3 linked regions of the Sus scrofa genome follow. Each later gene encodes a partner of the first gene's protein in a complex. Links are inferred from orthologs where the notes say so. Each region holds a gene or a part of one and is shown on either strand. Other genes may lie near its edges. The genes, in order: VDAC1, SPG7 and PPIF.

Region 1 (4,187 bases):
CTACACTGTTGCTCATGGCAACACTGGATTCTTCACCCACTGAGCAAGGCCAAGGATCGAACCTGCATCCTCATGGATGTTAGTCAGATTCGTTAGCCACTGAGCCACAACGGGAACTCCCCGCCTTTCCTCCTGATAACCAACAAGTCTGATCTGTGTGTGGCCCCAGGGCCTGGAGCAAAAAAAGGCAGCCTCTGGAGCCACCTTGTAGTTAAGACCACATGCTCTCAGTGTCCCTAAGTAAGAAGGTGGGGAAAGGGCCATCAAGCCTAAGAAAGGGGGCTGGCCACAGGGACCCATTAGCCCCTGCTTCCCAGCGCCACCCCCTGGCCTTGGCTACTCACATTACCAGCAGCCTCAGTCCCAGGGAATGCAGCATTCCTGGACCAGAAATCCTGCAGCCTCCAAGCTGAGGCCAGCAGAACAATCACAGCACAGAATCTCACTATAAAACACAGCTAGGAATTCCCATCGTGGCGCAGTGGTTAACAAATCCGACTAGGAACCATGAGGTGAACTCAGTGGCTTAAGGATCCGGCGATGCCATGAGCTGTGGTCTAGGTCGCAGACACGGCTCGGATCCCACGTGGCTGTGGCCCTGGCGCAGGCCAGTGGCTACAGCTCCGATTCGACCCCTAGCCTGGGAACCTCTATATGCCACGGGTGTGGCCCTAGAAATGGCAAAGAAAAATAAAGAAATTAAATTAAATAAAAAAAGACACGGCTAGCTGTCCTTAGGGAGACGGTGGATGAGATTCTTACCCAGTGTTCGGTGAGAAGGATGAATCAAAGGTCAGCTTCAGTCCACGGGCAAGCTGAACAGAGAAGAAATTCGCCAGCAGGGTTAGTCACGAGACGGGCCGGCAGCCGCCCCTCAGTCACACCGCGTCTTTGGCGAGTTACCTGATCTTCCACGGTAATCTCCGTGCCCAGGGTGTTGTCGGTGTTCCACTTCTCTGTAAACGTCAGACCATATTCGGTCCATCTGTACTTGGTTTCCAGACTGCCCGTCACTTTGGTGGTCTCCGTGTTGGCTGAACCTGAGCTTGTAAATTCCTTTAAAAAAAAGAAAGAGGGTCACGGCCTGCATGCCAACGCTTCATTCTGCATCACGCCCCCCCTAAATGTTGGGAGCCCCGCAGCAAGTCCACGCCACCCCTACGTGGCCTCTGTTCTCCTTTAAGCAAGAGGTGACACCTTGCATGCGTGCAGGAAAAGCCTCACTCGATAATTCAATGAGATATTTCAAGTACAGATGGAGCCGGCTAATGAAAGGAATCTTACAGGGAATTCTTTTACTGGCCGTGCCCGAGGCATGCGAAAGTTCCCAGGCCAGGGACTGAACCGGTGCCACAGCAGTGGCCCGGAGCTGCTGCAGTGACAATGCCACATCCTTAACCTACTGCGCCACAAGGGAACTCCACTACAGAGAATTCTTTATCAGGACACGGCTTCCTTCCTCCCCTGTTAACGCTTCAGTCTGGACAGGAAGGCAATCCTTCCATCCCGCCTCCAGCCTAGAGAGAAAAAGCTTTTGAGCTAAAGCTGACGTGGCAGGAATTCAACCCGAAGTATCCTTCTTCGAACAATTACCACATGTACAATCTAAAAGAGACTAAGGTTTTTGTTTTAGGCATTCCCTTTGCGGCTCAGCAGTAATGAATCCGACTAGGAACCATAAGGTTGCAGGTTTGATCCCTGGCCTGGCTCAGTGGGTTAAGGATCCGGCGTTGCCGTGAGCTGTGGTGCAGGTTGCAGATGCCGCTCGGATCTGGCGTTGCTGTGGCTGTGGTGTAGGCCAGCAGCTACAACTCCAATTGGACCCCTAGCCTGGGAACTTCCATATGCCGTGGGTGTGGCCCTAAAAAAAAGCAAAAAAAGATTTTAAGTAATCACATGGTATGGAACAGAGGCTGATTCTGAAATAAGACGCATAAGGAAAAATAAAACTGAAGCCTGCCCCATATTCCTACTAGAATCCAGCTGAAGAAGTGGGGACCTGGTCACATGGTTCCCCTGGACCACAAATCCTACAAAGGATGCAATGCAAAGGACAGCTACAAGCTGCCACAATCAGAAGAGTCCCTTTGTTGGTCACCCCGAAGGAAGTTATTTTTTATATACTGATCTGCATAAATACCCATGCTCCGCGTGGGCCAGACAACTTACCAGTCCATTCTCAGATTTTGTTTTCAAATCAAGTTTTATTAGGCCAAATCCTAAAGAGAGGAGATGGTAGCTATTAGCAGGTTAAATAACTCACTCGAAAACAGCATCCCCGCCTCCCTCGGTCTGCTTTAACACGCTCTGAGTGTGAGGGCACCAGTCACCACTGCTGCGTGTGTTGGGGGGGGGCTGGTTGCCATGGAACCGTGGCCGACAGAACAGGCCCAGGCCCCACCTGCACGCCCAGCGGAGTCTGAGAAGAAGGTGCATGACCGCGTGGGCACATGTCTAAGGACAAGCTAAATTTAGAAGCTGCAATCCACTGCAGCGGCAGCCACAGACCTGCTCCCTGCCTGCGAGAGGAAACAAGAACGCCCGCTTGTTGGCAGCAATGTGCAAGCCCACCTGCACTGGGTGCACAACCACAACTGCTCGGCCAGCCGTAGAAGGCTTATCTTTTTTTCCCTGACATGAAAGGTCTGAGAGCGAGCTGACCCCAGTCTCTCAAACTCTGATGGGCAAAATCCCAAACATGCCACCCCCGCCTCCGAGCTGGAAGGCCACTCCGTGCGACACTCACCATAGCCCTTGGTGAAGACATCCCTGGCAGACTTGCCAAGATCGGCATACGTAGGAGGCACAGCCATCTTCTGCTGCCAGAAAAAAACCACCAAAATAAACACATTGGTAATTTCGGCTATGAGTTTCCACCAATAAAAATCATCAGCACTGAGTTCCCCCAGTGGCAGGCGGAGAGGCCTGTGCTGGCTGCTGCTTCTTTTTGTGACCAGAGCTTAAAATGCCCAATAAGTTTTATTGAGAGCAAACCAGCCTGACTTTTGGGGTTTGGGTTTTTGGTTTTTTTTTTTCTAGTTTTTTTGTTTGTTTGTTTGCTTTTTAGGGGCACACCGGCAGCATATGGAGGTTCCCAGGCTAGGGGTCTAATCGGAGCTGTAGCCCCCAGCCTACACCAGAGCCACAGCAATGCCAGATCTGAGCCACATCTGTGACCTACACCACAGCTCACGGCAACGCCGGATCCTTAACCCACTGAGTGAGGCCAGGGATCGAACCTGCATCCTCCTGGATGGTAGTCAGTTTCGTGAACCGCTGAGCCACAGCGGGAACGCCCAGCCTGACTTTGGACCTCTTCTCCTAGGCATCCCTGGGACTGAGCACAGGCCCAGAAGACGGGAGGAGTCAGGCAACATCAGCTAAATGAATTCACTGTCAAAGATGCATTCCCAGAAGGCAGCTACTTCACTCGACGGCAGGACTCTTGCCAATATAACGTATCTTCTTACAAAATATCGACTGCCAGGACATTAATACAACAAATAGAAATCAGAGCTTTTCAGAACAACTGATTTTCCCTAAGATTCGAATTTCATTCATTCAACAAATATTTATGGAGTCCCTACTGCGAGTCAGAATGGACCCAAATTACCCCAAAACTTGCATTTTACAGGAATCAACAGGGATATCATATTCTGCACTGAGAAAACAAACAAACAAAAAAAAAAACTGGAGTTCCTGTCCCAGCTTAGCAGTAACAAACCTGACCAGGATCCATGAGGACATGGGTTCGATCCCTGGCCTTGCTCAGTGGGTTAAGGATCTGGCGTTGCCGTGAGCCGTGGTGTGGGTCGCAGATACTGCTCGGATCCCACATTGCTGTGGCTGTGACGTAGGCCAGCAGCTGCAGCTCCAATTGGACCCCTAGCCTGGGCACTTCCATATGCCGTGGGTGTGGCCTTAAAAAGCAAAAAAAGAAAAAAACCAACAATAAAACCTAAGTAGGCAACTCTTCATAGGGAAGGAAATGCAACCACATCCCCCTCAAATTTGATTCAAACAAAAATTTATTGAATTCCATGATGACTTCATTTTTAAAACCAATTATCAAAGTACTACTTGGGATTATTGTATATCATTAAGCCAGTCAACAAGCATTTATTAAACACCTCGGTGTTCAAGAAAGACAAGAACTTCACTATTTTTTCGTTTTTTTGTTTTGTCTT
Region 2 (3,531 bases), on another chromosome or scaffold:
GCACAGACTGCGCCCGGGCTCAGCGCAGACCTTTGAGGATCAAGAGGAAACCACGGGGGTCAAAACCAGGCGGGCAGGGAGCCGAGGCCCGGACAGACCAGCCCCGCGGGGACGTGTGGGCCAGAGGGCAGCCAGGCCGCACCACCTGCAGCGTAGGGAGGTCGATGAACACGTGCCGGTCCAGTCGGCCTGGCCGCAGCAGAGCGGCGTCCAGAATGTCAGCTCGGTTGGTGGACGCCAGGACAATGACGTGGTCGGTGGTGCCCATTCCTAGATGGACAGACAGGGGTGTTGGGGGTGCTCTCAACCGAGCGGCTTCCCTGGGGACACCCTCCAAGGACCCGCGGCTGGAGAGACGGGGCACCAGCACCATCATTCTGAAGGCAGCAACGTGGACCCGCCTCGAGGCTCGACCACCAAAACCCCCTACGAGCCACCCCTTAGCTCCCAGGCCAGAGCCCAGGGGCAGAGCTGCAGCTCAGAACCCAGCTCCACCCCCACGTCAAGACAGTGACCTGGGGGAGGGACGAGGGGACGAGGGGACACGGGTCGCCACGGGGGCGGGGGCACTGCCTTCAGCACTGGCTCAGGGCCCCGCGTTTCCCGCCCAGGTTTCTCGCGTGAGGATTTCTGCTGCAGGGCCGCCCCTGAGGTGTATGAAGGTGCCAGGCTAGGGGTTGAATCAGAGCTGCAGCTGCTGCGTCTGCGCCCCACACCACAGCTCACGGCGACGCCAGATCCTTAACCCACTGAGCGAGGCAGGGACTGAACTGCATCCTCATGGATGCTCGCCGGGTTCGTTACTGCGGAGCCACAACAGGAACTTCCTCTCACAAGGATTTGAAAGCAAGTCCAGAACCATCACTGGGGCGCAGAGCCAGGTGTGAGCCTGACAGGTGCTGGGCACGAGTAGGAACACACGCGGCGGTGCCCGCAGCAGTGCTCCAGACCTAAAGAAAGGCACACAGAGCACCCACGATCCAGAACACTCGGTCTGCCATACAACGGGACACGCGCGGGGGCCGGGGGCGGGGGGGACTGGCTGAGTATGCGCCCGCTGCAGGGGACACGGGGCTCGACGCCCACTCGCCTCTGCTTTGATGGGTATTTGAAAAGTTCCAGAATACAAAGTTTAAAAGACAGAGATGCTGTGACCTCTCCCACTAGAGATTTATAAAATTAATCTGGAAGAAACTGAGGCGAACAAGTGTCAACAGACAGGATGTGTGGCCAGAGGGAGAGTCCTGGACAGACAGGCTCCGGGGCCAGAGGGGCAACCCTGCTAGGAAGCCAAGCGGGCTCCCCCCGCACTCCTGCAAAGCCCGCCTTCCACAGGCGGGAGCTGTGGACAGAATCCTGCCGCTGTATTAACGTGGAGGAACAGCAGGAATAACGGGTACGGGAGGAGAGAGCGGCTGGGCAGGGGCGCCCGCGTCACGGGGCTGCGGGCACAGCCCCGGGGCCTCCCGCAGAAGGGCTCCGCCCTCTGGGTGAAGCAAGTGAACTACAGGGTCTCGTCCCAGAACTTACGCGGTTGCAGACACACCACAAGGTGCAAAGAAACCAGCCTATTCAGTAACTGCCAGCCCCATACCCCGTCCCCTCTGTCCCCCGGGGACGAATGCCACCCCCACGGAGACCTCCCTACACGGCCGCCACCTGCCCTCCACCCTCGAGGTCTGTCATTCTGACCATTTCCCCACCAATCGAATCCTCCGATCTGCCATCTCTCAGGTTGGCCTGTTCCAGCCACCCAGTCGTGTGTCCCAGCTGCCAGCTTCTCGGTAAGAGCATGGGACTTAACCACACACGCTCTGAGGACAGCGGGTGTCGAGTCTTCAGCGATTACAGGTTGTGCCCGGCAGGGTACACGTGTTTGCGGACAGGGGTCAGGGCTGCTCCAAGAGGCCGCACACTGTCCCCACCACAAGGTCAGGGCTGCTTCTGCCGCACACAGGCGTGTTTTTGCAGCTGCCTCGCTCACATCAGGGTCCAATTTCTTCACACGGCCGGCAGCTCACCCGGCGTTCCCACCACATCTGACACAGCGCGGCCAGGGGTGTGTTTCTATCAAAACCTCAGCAAGAGTCCTTGGCAGATACGGACAGGCTGATTCTAAAATTACATGAAAAGGCAAAGCAAGCAGCTACGGTTCTGGTCAAGAACAGAGCTCGGCCCCCGCCCGCGGCTACGCGATGAGGGCCGTGGGGCGTGTGCGAGGGCAGACTGTCCGGAGGTGCCTGGCCGAGGCTCCGTGACGGTGAGTTCAGGGGAGGACAGTGTTCTAATCCCAGGCTCAACCAGACCAAAAGTGACGACCAGACCGCACGCCTTACACACAAACTCACCTACCGCGGCCACAGGCCTGGTGAAGGGGTTGCCTCTCCCTCATCTCACTGCAGAGGCGCTGACCCTCAGTGCAGCAGGTGAGACCCCCTGGTCTCTTCCCGCCAGAGGCCAGCACGAGACACCGTCCCTGGGCGCGCAGCGGTCCTTGCTGGCCAGGCCTCTGGGCTCTGATGCACTCACGCCGCCCAACTTGGCAAAACAGAGGGTGGATGCAGAACCCAGCACAGAGCCACTTCTGCGCCCACCGACCTGGGACCCTGGCCAGGCGGCCTGTGGCTCCGAGTGACTGGGAGGCTCCCACAGGCTCTCCCATGACCCCACTCCCTGGGTTACAGGCTGCTCCGCGGGCTCCCGGGCAGGTCGTGGGGGCCGAAGCGGTGGCACAGCAGAAGCTCTGCCCAGGGCAGCAGGGCGCAGGCAGAGCAGGCGCCACGTGGGAAATGCTCCCCGAGGCGCACGTCTGTCTTCGAGGCAGAAGCAACAGCAGCAGAGACAGGGTGACGCTCCCGTGGCCTGGGTGCCCGCCTGCAGCGGAGCCACCAGCAAGCCTCCGCCGTCACACACACGCAAGGTCACAACCACACGCAAGGCCGCACCCGTCAGCCTCCCTTCCCGGTGCAGAAACCCCGGCTCAGAGAATCAGGGTGGAGAGCCCCCCGTGCACCCTGGGCAGCGCTGGATGAGACGTCTGCACGACCAATGCGAGGAGGCCACACCCTCCCGCCAGTCCCTCGGCATCAAGACGGTCACCCGGTGTTCAAAGAGAGCAGCCGTGGTTCAGCCCACGCGGCCCTGCCAGGAGCGTGCTTGTCAGACGTGGCGGCTCCGGGGTTCACTCTTCAGACCAGGCGCTCTGGGCGCTGGTGGAAAAGCAGAGCCGGGGGCGGCCGCGGCTGAGGGGCCGGGACCTGGCCCGGGAGGCGCCCCGCAGGCCCCCTGGTGCGACTCCAGAGCCTCGGCTCAGGTCTGAAGACACCGAGCCGTCGGGATCGGGCCCTGAGGAAGCTCGGTCTTCGTGCCCCGGCTCTTTCAAGTGGCCTGGGAGCCACGTCCTGCGCTGTCCTGATGGACACGCGGATGAGCGGGTCCCTGGAAGGTCTCCAGGGCCCCAGACGTCAACCGCTCTCAGGACGAGGAGCAGCCCTTTCCTCGGCTTGTGAGACGTCGCTGTCCAACTGCAGA
Region 3 (4,082 bases), on another chromosome or scaffold:
TCCTGTCTTAGCTGGACCTGACCTAACTCAGGACAACCCCCAGCATAGCTTGGCTCCTGGCCCTTGGGAAAGTTCTTGCTGTCGACATCTACCCTCAAAACCTCTGACACAGCAGCTTTTTAAAAATGCTTTGGAAAAGAGGCAGAACACATGATGAAAAAACATACTCGTTTAACTGAGACAGATGCCCTTATCTGAAAAGAGGCTTCAAGTACAGACCTGTGTGTTCTTGTCTGTGCTGGGTCTTTCTCCCTCTTCCACCTCCTCCTTTTCCCCTATGCCAAGTGCTCGTTGGGATACGGGCAGAGACTGCTTCAGTAGTCCGCCAAAGCCTTCAGATCTACCCCTGAGCACATCCACACCCCAATGCTGGTTCTCCCTCCATTGCTCAACTCTCCTGACTGCGTAAGGTAGGGCCATCCTGCCGTTTGCCCCGTCCTGCCGCTTGCCCTGTTGCTCAACTCCTGGGGCAGGGAAGTTTTCTACATCAGCCAGGACAAGCTCCAGTGAGAGGCCAGGCTGAGAGAGTGATGGCAGTTGCCTTCCATTCAGACTTTCCAGGCACCAGGTGTGTGCACCCTGGTTACTCCCCATGACAATCTTCCGAGGCGACCCCATCTCTATCCCCACTTACAGAAGAGGAACCGAAGGCAGGGAGAGATCTGAGATACCTGGCACATGAAGGATGGAATGACTCTGTGAAACGTGGAGCCTTTGTAGCCGAAGCCCTTCTCCCCGGTGCACAGGGCTCTGAAGTTCTCTGAGGGTTGGAGAAAGAGGCAGATCAGTAGCGCCAGGCCTTAACCCAGGGGCTACAATGCTTCCAGCCAGAGCACTCTTTACCCTCCCACCCCAGGAGGTAAGCAGGGTATGGAAAGCCCTGCAACCTGGGTCTGCTCTAGCTGGGTGACCTTGTACCCTGACCTCAATGTCCGAGCACCATGGCAAGAGCTAAGGCTCCTGGATGTTCCAGCACCAGGTCAGCGGGGCAGGGAGCCCAAGGGCTATGAAGCCATCATACTGACCCACTGGAGGAAGTTGTCCCAGAGGAAATGCACATATTTCTTCTACTGATTCTGAGGCTACTACCAGATAGGTGGGCAAGGCCAACTCTGAGGCTCAGAGGGCCAGAAGGCTACCCCAGGGTACCCATCTGGTCACAGATCTCATGCCCCAACTCCTCTAGCCATCCCACCCTCTCTTGCATCCAGACCAGACTCAGAAGGGCCCAGGCCCTGCCTTACCTGCTGTCTTTGGGACGACATCTGCCTTCAGCTGTGGGGAGAGAAAGAGGGCAGGACATCAGTCCAGAGGCAGGTGAAGGAAGGACCCAACTCCCACGGAGGCCCAGGAAAGACAAAGAGAGCACCATTCCTGTCACTCCCAGCCCTCTGTCACTCCCAGCCCTCCGTGGGAAGCCACTGTGGCTATCACTTCTGCCAGCTGCTTCCTCAACCCAGGGCTGGCAGGAGGCAGCCTCGATTTCCTAACCTGTCAGAAGAGATGACAACACCATCTTGGCCTGCTTCTAGAGGCAGACCTAGCAGAGCTACTTCAGCTGGGCCCAAAGCATCAGAGACTCAGGGCCTGGAGAGAGGGCCCCCCAAGCTCCTCAATGGGCAGATGGGAAACTGAGGCTCAGAGAGAGGCAGGAGGCTGGTGGAAAGGGGGGAGGCCGGAGCCCCATTCAAGCCAGCCTCTTGCTTCCCAGCTTCAAGAGCTGCCCTGGTGCCAAACCTTTAAAATAAATGGGTGCTTTCCATTTTCCGGAAGAAGAAACAGAGGCTTGAGGCGCCTGTGTTCAAAAGCAGGCCAGGCTCAAGAACTACACAGGAGCGTTCCCTCTGTTACCTTCCAGACTACATATTTGTTCCCTGCTTTAAAAAAAAAAAAAAAAAAGGCCCAAAGAGTCAGGGGCAGGCACTAAGCGTTACCCTGGGAAGGTGACAGGTTGGCGTTGGGGCAAAGAGTTCTGAACACAGGGTCCCGACTCCTGGGGCCGCGGCCGGCCCAGCCAGCACCCACCAGGAGAGGAGGCGGCCCCAAAGCACCTTTGCTCAACCATGCGCCCCATGGCAGGAGCAGGGCCGGGGACGCTCCATCTTATGCAAGGGCCGCCACGTGAGCGCACAGCGGGTCAGCCGCCTGGATCCTGGAGAGCCTGCCCCCTCCACCCCGACACCCACCTCAGAGCTCTGGGCCTGCGCTCCCACCCCGTGAGATCTCGGAGCCCTTCCCCAAACTCGGAGCCGGCCTGCCGGGACAGGCCCTCCTGCCTACATTCTGACCTTGAGCTTTCTCCTCCACGGGCGCCCTCCCCCACCTTCCCCCCGCCCCACTTCCATTGGTCTAAAGATCCGAGGGGAGGCCCGGAGAGACCAATCTGATGCCTCTTCTTAGAGATGGGGAAACTGAGGCCCAGAGCAGGAAGCAAGGTCACACAGCGAGCCAGACACAGCGCCGGCCCGGAGTCCAGGGCTCTTCCGGGACCGTCCCTCACTCTCAGTCCAGCGCGGTCCTGTCCAGTGGTCTCACCTCCAGAACCACGCGGCCCAGCGGCTGCCCGTCCGCGCCCACGTCCAGGTACACAAGCGGGTTCCTGGCGGAAGAGGACGGGTCACCGGAGTCGCCGCCGCTGCTGCAGGCGCGGGTTGCGGAGAGGCGCAGCGGCGCGGAGCGCGGGCCGGAGAGCAGACGGAGCAAGCGGGGACTGCTGCGCAGCGCCAGCATGGTGAGCGCGGGTCGGAGTGCAAGAGCTCCAGGACAAGCGGAGACTACAGCAAAGAGAACCACGCACGCCCAGAGCGGCCGAGTCAGCTGGGACCGCGCGCCGCCGCCTTTATTGGCTCAGGCGGCCTCTGGGCCCCGCCTCCGCCACGCCCCCTTCAGCCTGTCCGCTCTTGTCCTCTGCCGGCCCCAGCGGGAAGCACAGCGGCTAGCCTAAAATCCTTTAAATACACCCACACCAGGGCTAGAGACCTGAGAGTTAGACACGACCTTGCAAAAGGAGGCCGGTGACATTTTGTGAGGGTCCCAATAGATAGGAAAAAAAAAAAAAAAAAGCGGGCGGGGGGGATCCTAAAAAGTGGCTAACTCCAAAATGCGAGTACTGTGTTTTCATTTGAATATAACAAAAGTCTACATTTGAGCCTTTTGTATAGGCAGCCCCTCCTGCCATAGGCCCCGCGAACAGGTACAGACCAAGAGAAAAGGTGGCACTGAGTGTCAATCAAAGAAAGTTGGAGATGAGATGCGGGATTAGAGTGAGAAGTGGCAGGAGGAGATCAAGACACCTCCCATGGTGACCTCAGGCATTCCTGTCCTAGCCCGGGCTTGTCTCCAAATGCTTCTAGAAACCAGTCCCCCCTCTAGACTCAGCCTGAGCCTGTCATGCTCCCACCAGGCCCCCAGTCCTCCACCAGGACTGGGTCTGAATCTCCCCCTCCCCAACCCCACAGACTGACAGCCCTAGTTCCCAGCAACCAGGGTTCCCCTTCTACCCCCACTCACTGAGAAACTGCTCCTGCAGGTAACATAGCACAGGGGCCAATCCATAAGAGGTGCAAGGAAGAGAGGAAAGGTAAGACGGGAAGAGGAGGGGAACTGGGTGTGAGCTACCACTGTGCAGATTTACCCCACAAGCTGAGGTGGGCTTCACTGGAGCCTGGGGGGCATGGGAAGCCTACAGGAAATGAGTGACAGGCAGGGGTCCTGAGAGAGCATCTGAGCCAACACCTACACTTTCCAGATGAACAACTGAGGCCCAGAGACAGGAAGGTGCTGCCCAGAAGTAGGGGAACCATGAAGTCCCCACTGCCAGCCTGTACCGGTCCTCCCAGACTCCTCTCTCTGGGCCTCAGTTTCTCCTCTGCAGAATAGGTGTGATGTTAATTCCTACCCCACTTGTTTTCCAGGTCTGTTCCAAGGATAAAAAGAACAAGACAGAGAGAACTTGGTCAACTGCTAAGTACTGTGCTGTAAGCATCAGTGATAGTCAGAGTCTATACTTTGCCCAGGGTTTGGGGCTCAGATAGCAGTGGGCCACAGCTGCAGTGGCTCAGAGTTTTGAAGAGCTAGAAAAG

Evidence for each region.
Region 2: VDAC1 (region 1) and SPG7 share a complex: the UniProt entries of both Homo sapiens proteins name them as parts of the mitochondrial permeability transition pore complex. The link is inferred for Sus scrofa from reciprocal best matches to the Homo sapiens genes VDAC1 and SPG7.
Region 3: VDAC1 (region 1) and PPIF share a complex: the UniProt entries of both Homo sapiens proteins name them as parts of the mitochondrial permeability transition pore complex. The link is inferred for Sus scrofa from reciprocal best matches to the Homo sapiens genes VDAC1 and PPIF.

Annotation. Positions count from the first base shown.
Region 1 is NC_010444.4:136,317,796-136,321,982, forward strand, and holds the start of VDAC1 (voltage-dependent anion-selective channel protein 1), read right to left. Parts: upstream 2,814-4,187; coding exon 2,747-2,813; intron 2,220-2,746; coding exon 2,170-2,219; intron 1,057-2,169; coding exon 904-1,056; intron 816-903; coding exon 763-815; intron 1-762. UniProt on the Homo sapiens protein: Non-selective voltage-gated ion channel that mediates the transport of anions and cations through the mitochondrion outer membrane and plasma membrane.
Region 2 is NC_010448.4:422,196-425,726, forward strand, and holds part of SPG7 (paraplegin), read right to left. Parts: intron 271-3,531; coding exon 146-270; intron 1-145. UniProt on the Homo sapiens protein: Catalytic component of the m-AAA protease, a protease that plays a key role in proteostasis of inner mitochondrial membrane proteins, and which is essential for axonal and neuron development.
Region 3 is NC_010456.5:81,673,417-81,677,498, reverse strand, and holds the start of PPIF (peptidyl-prolyl cis-trans isomerase F, mitochondrial), read right to left. Parts: upstream 2,828-4,082; 5' UTR 2,731-2,827; coding exon 2,536-2,730; intron 1,276-2,535; coding exon 1,245-1,275; intron 761-1,244; coding exon 672-760; intron 1-671. UniProt on the Homo sapiens protein: PPIase that catalyzes the cis-trans isomerization of proline imidic peptide bonds in oligopeptides and may therefore assist protein folding. Involved in regulation of the mitochondrial permeability transition pore (mPTP).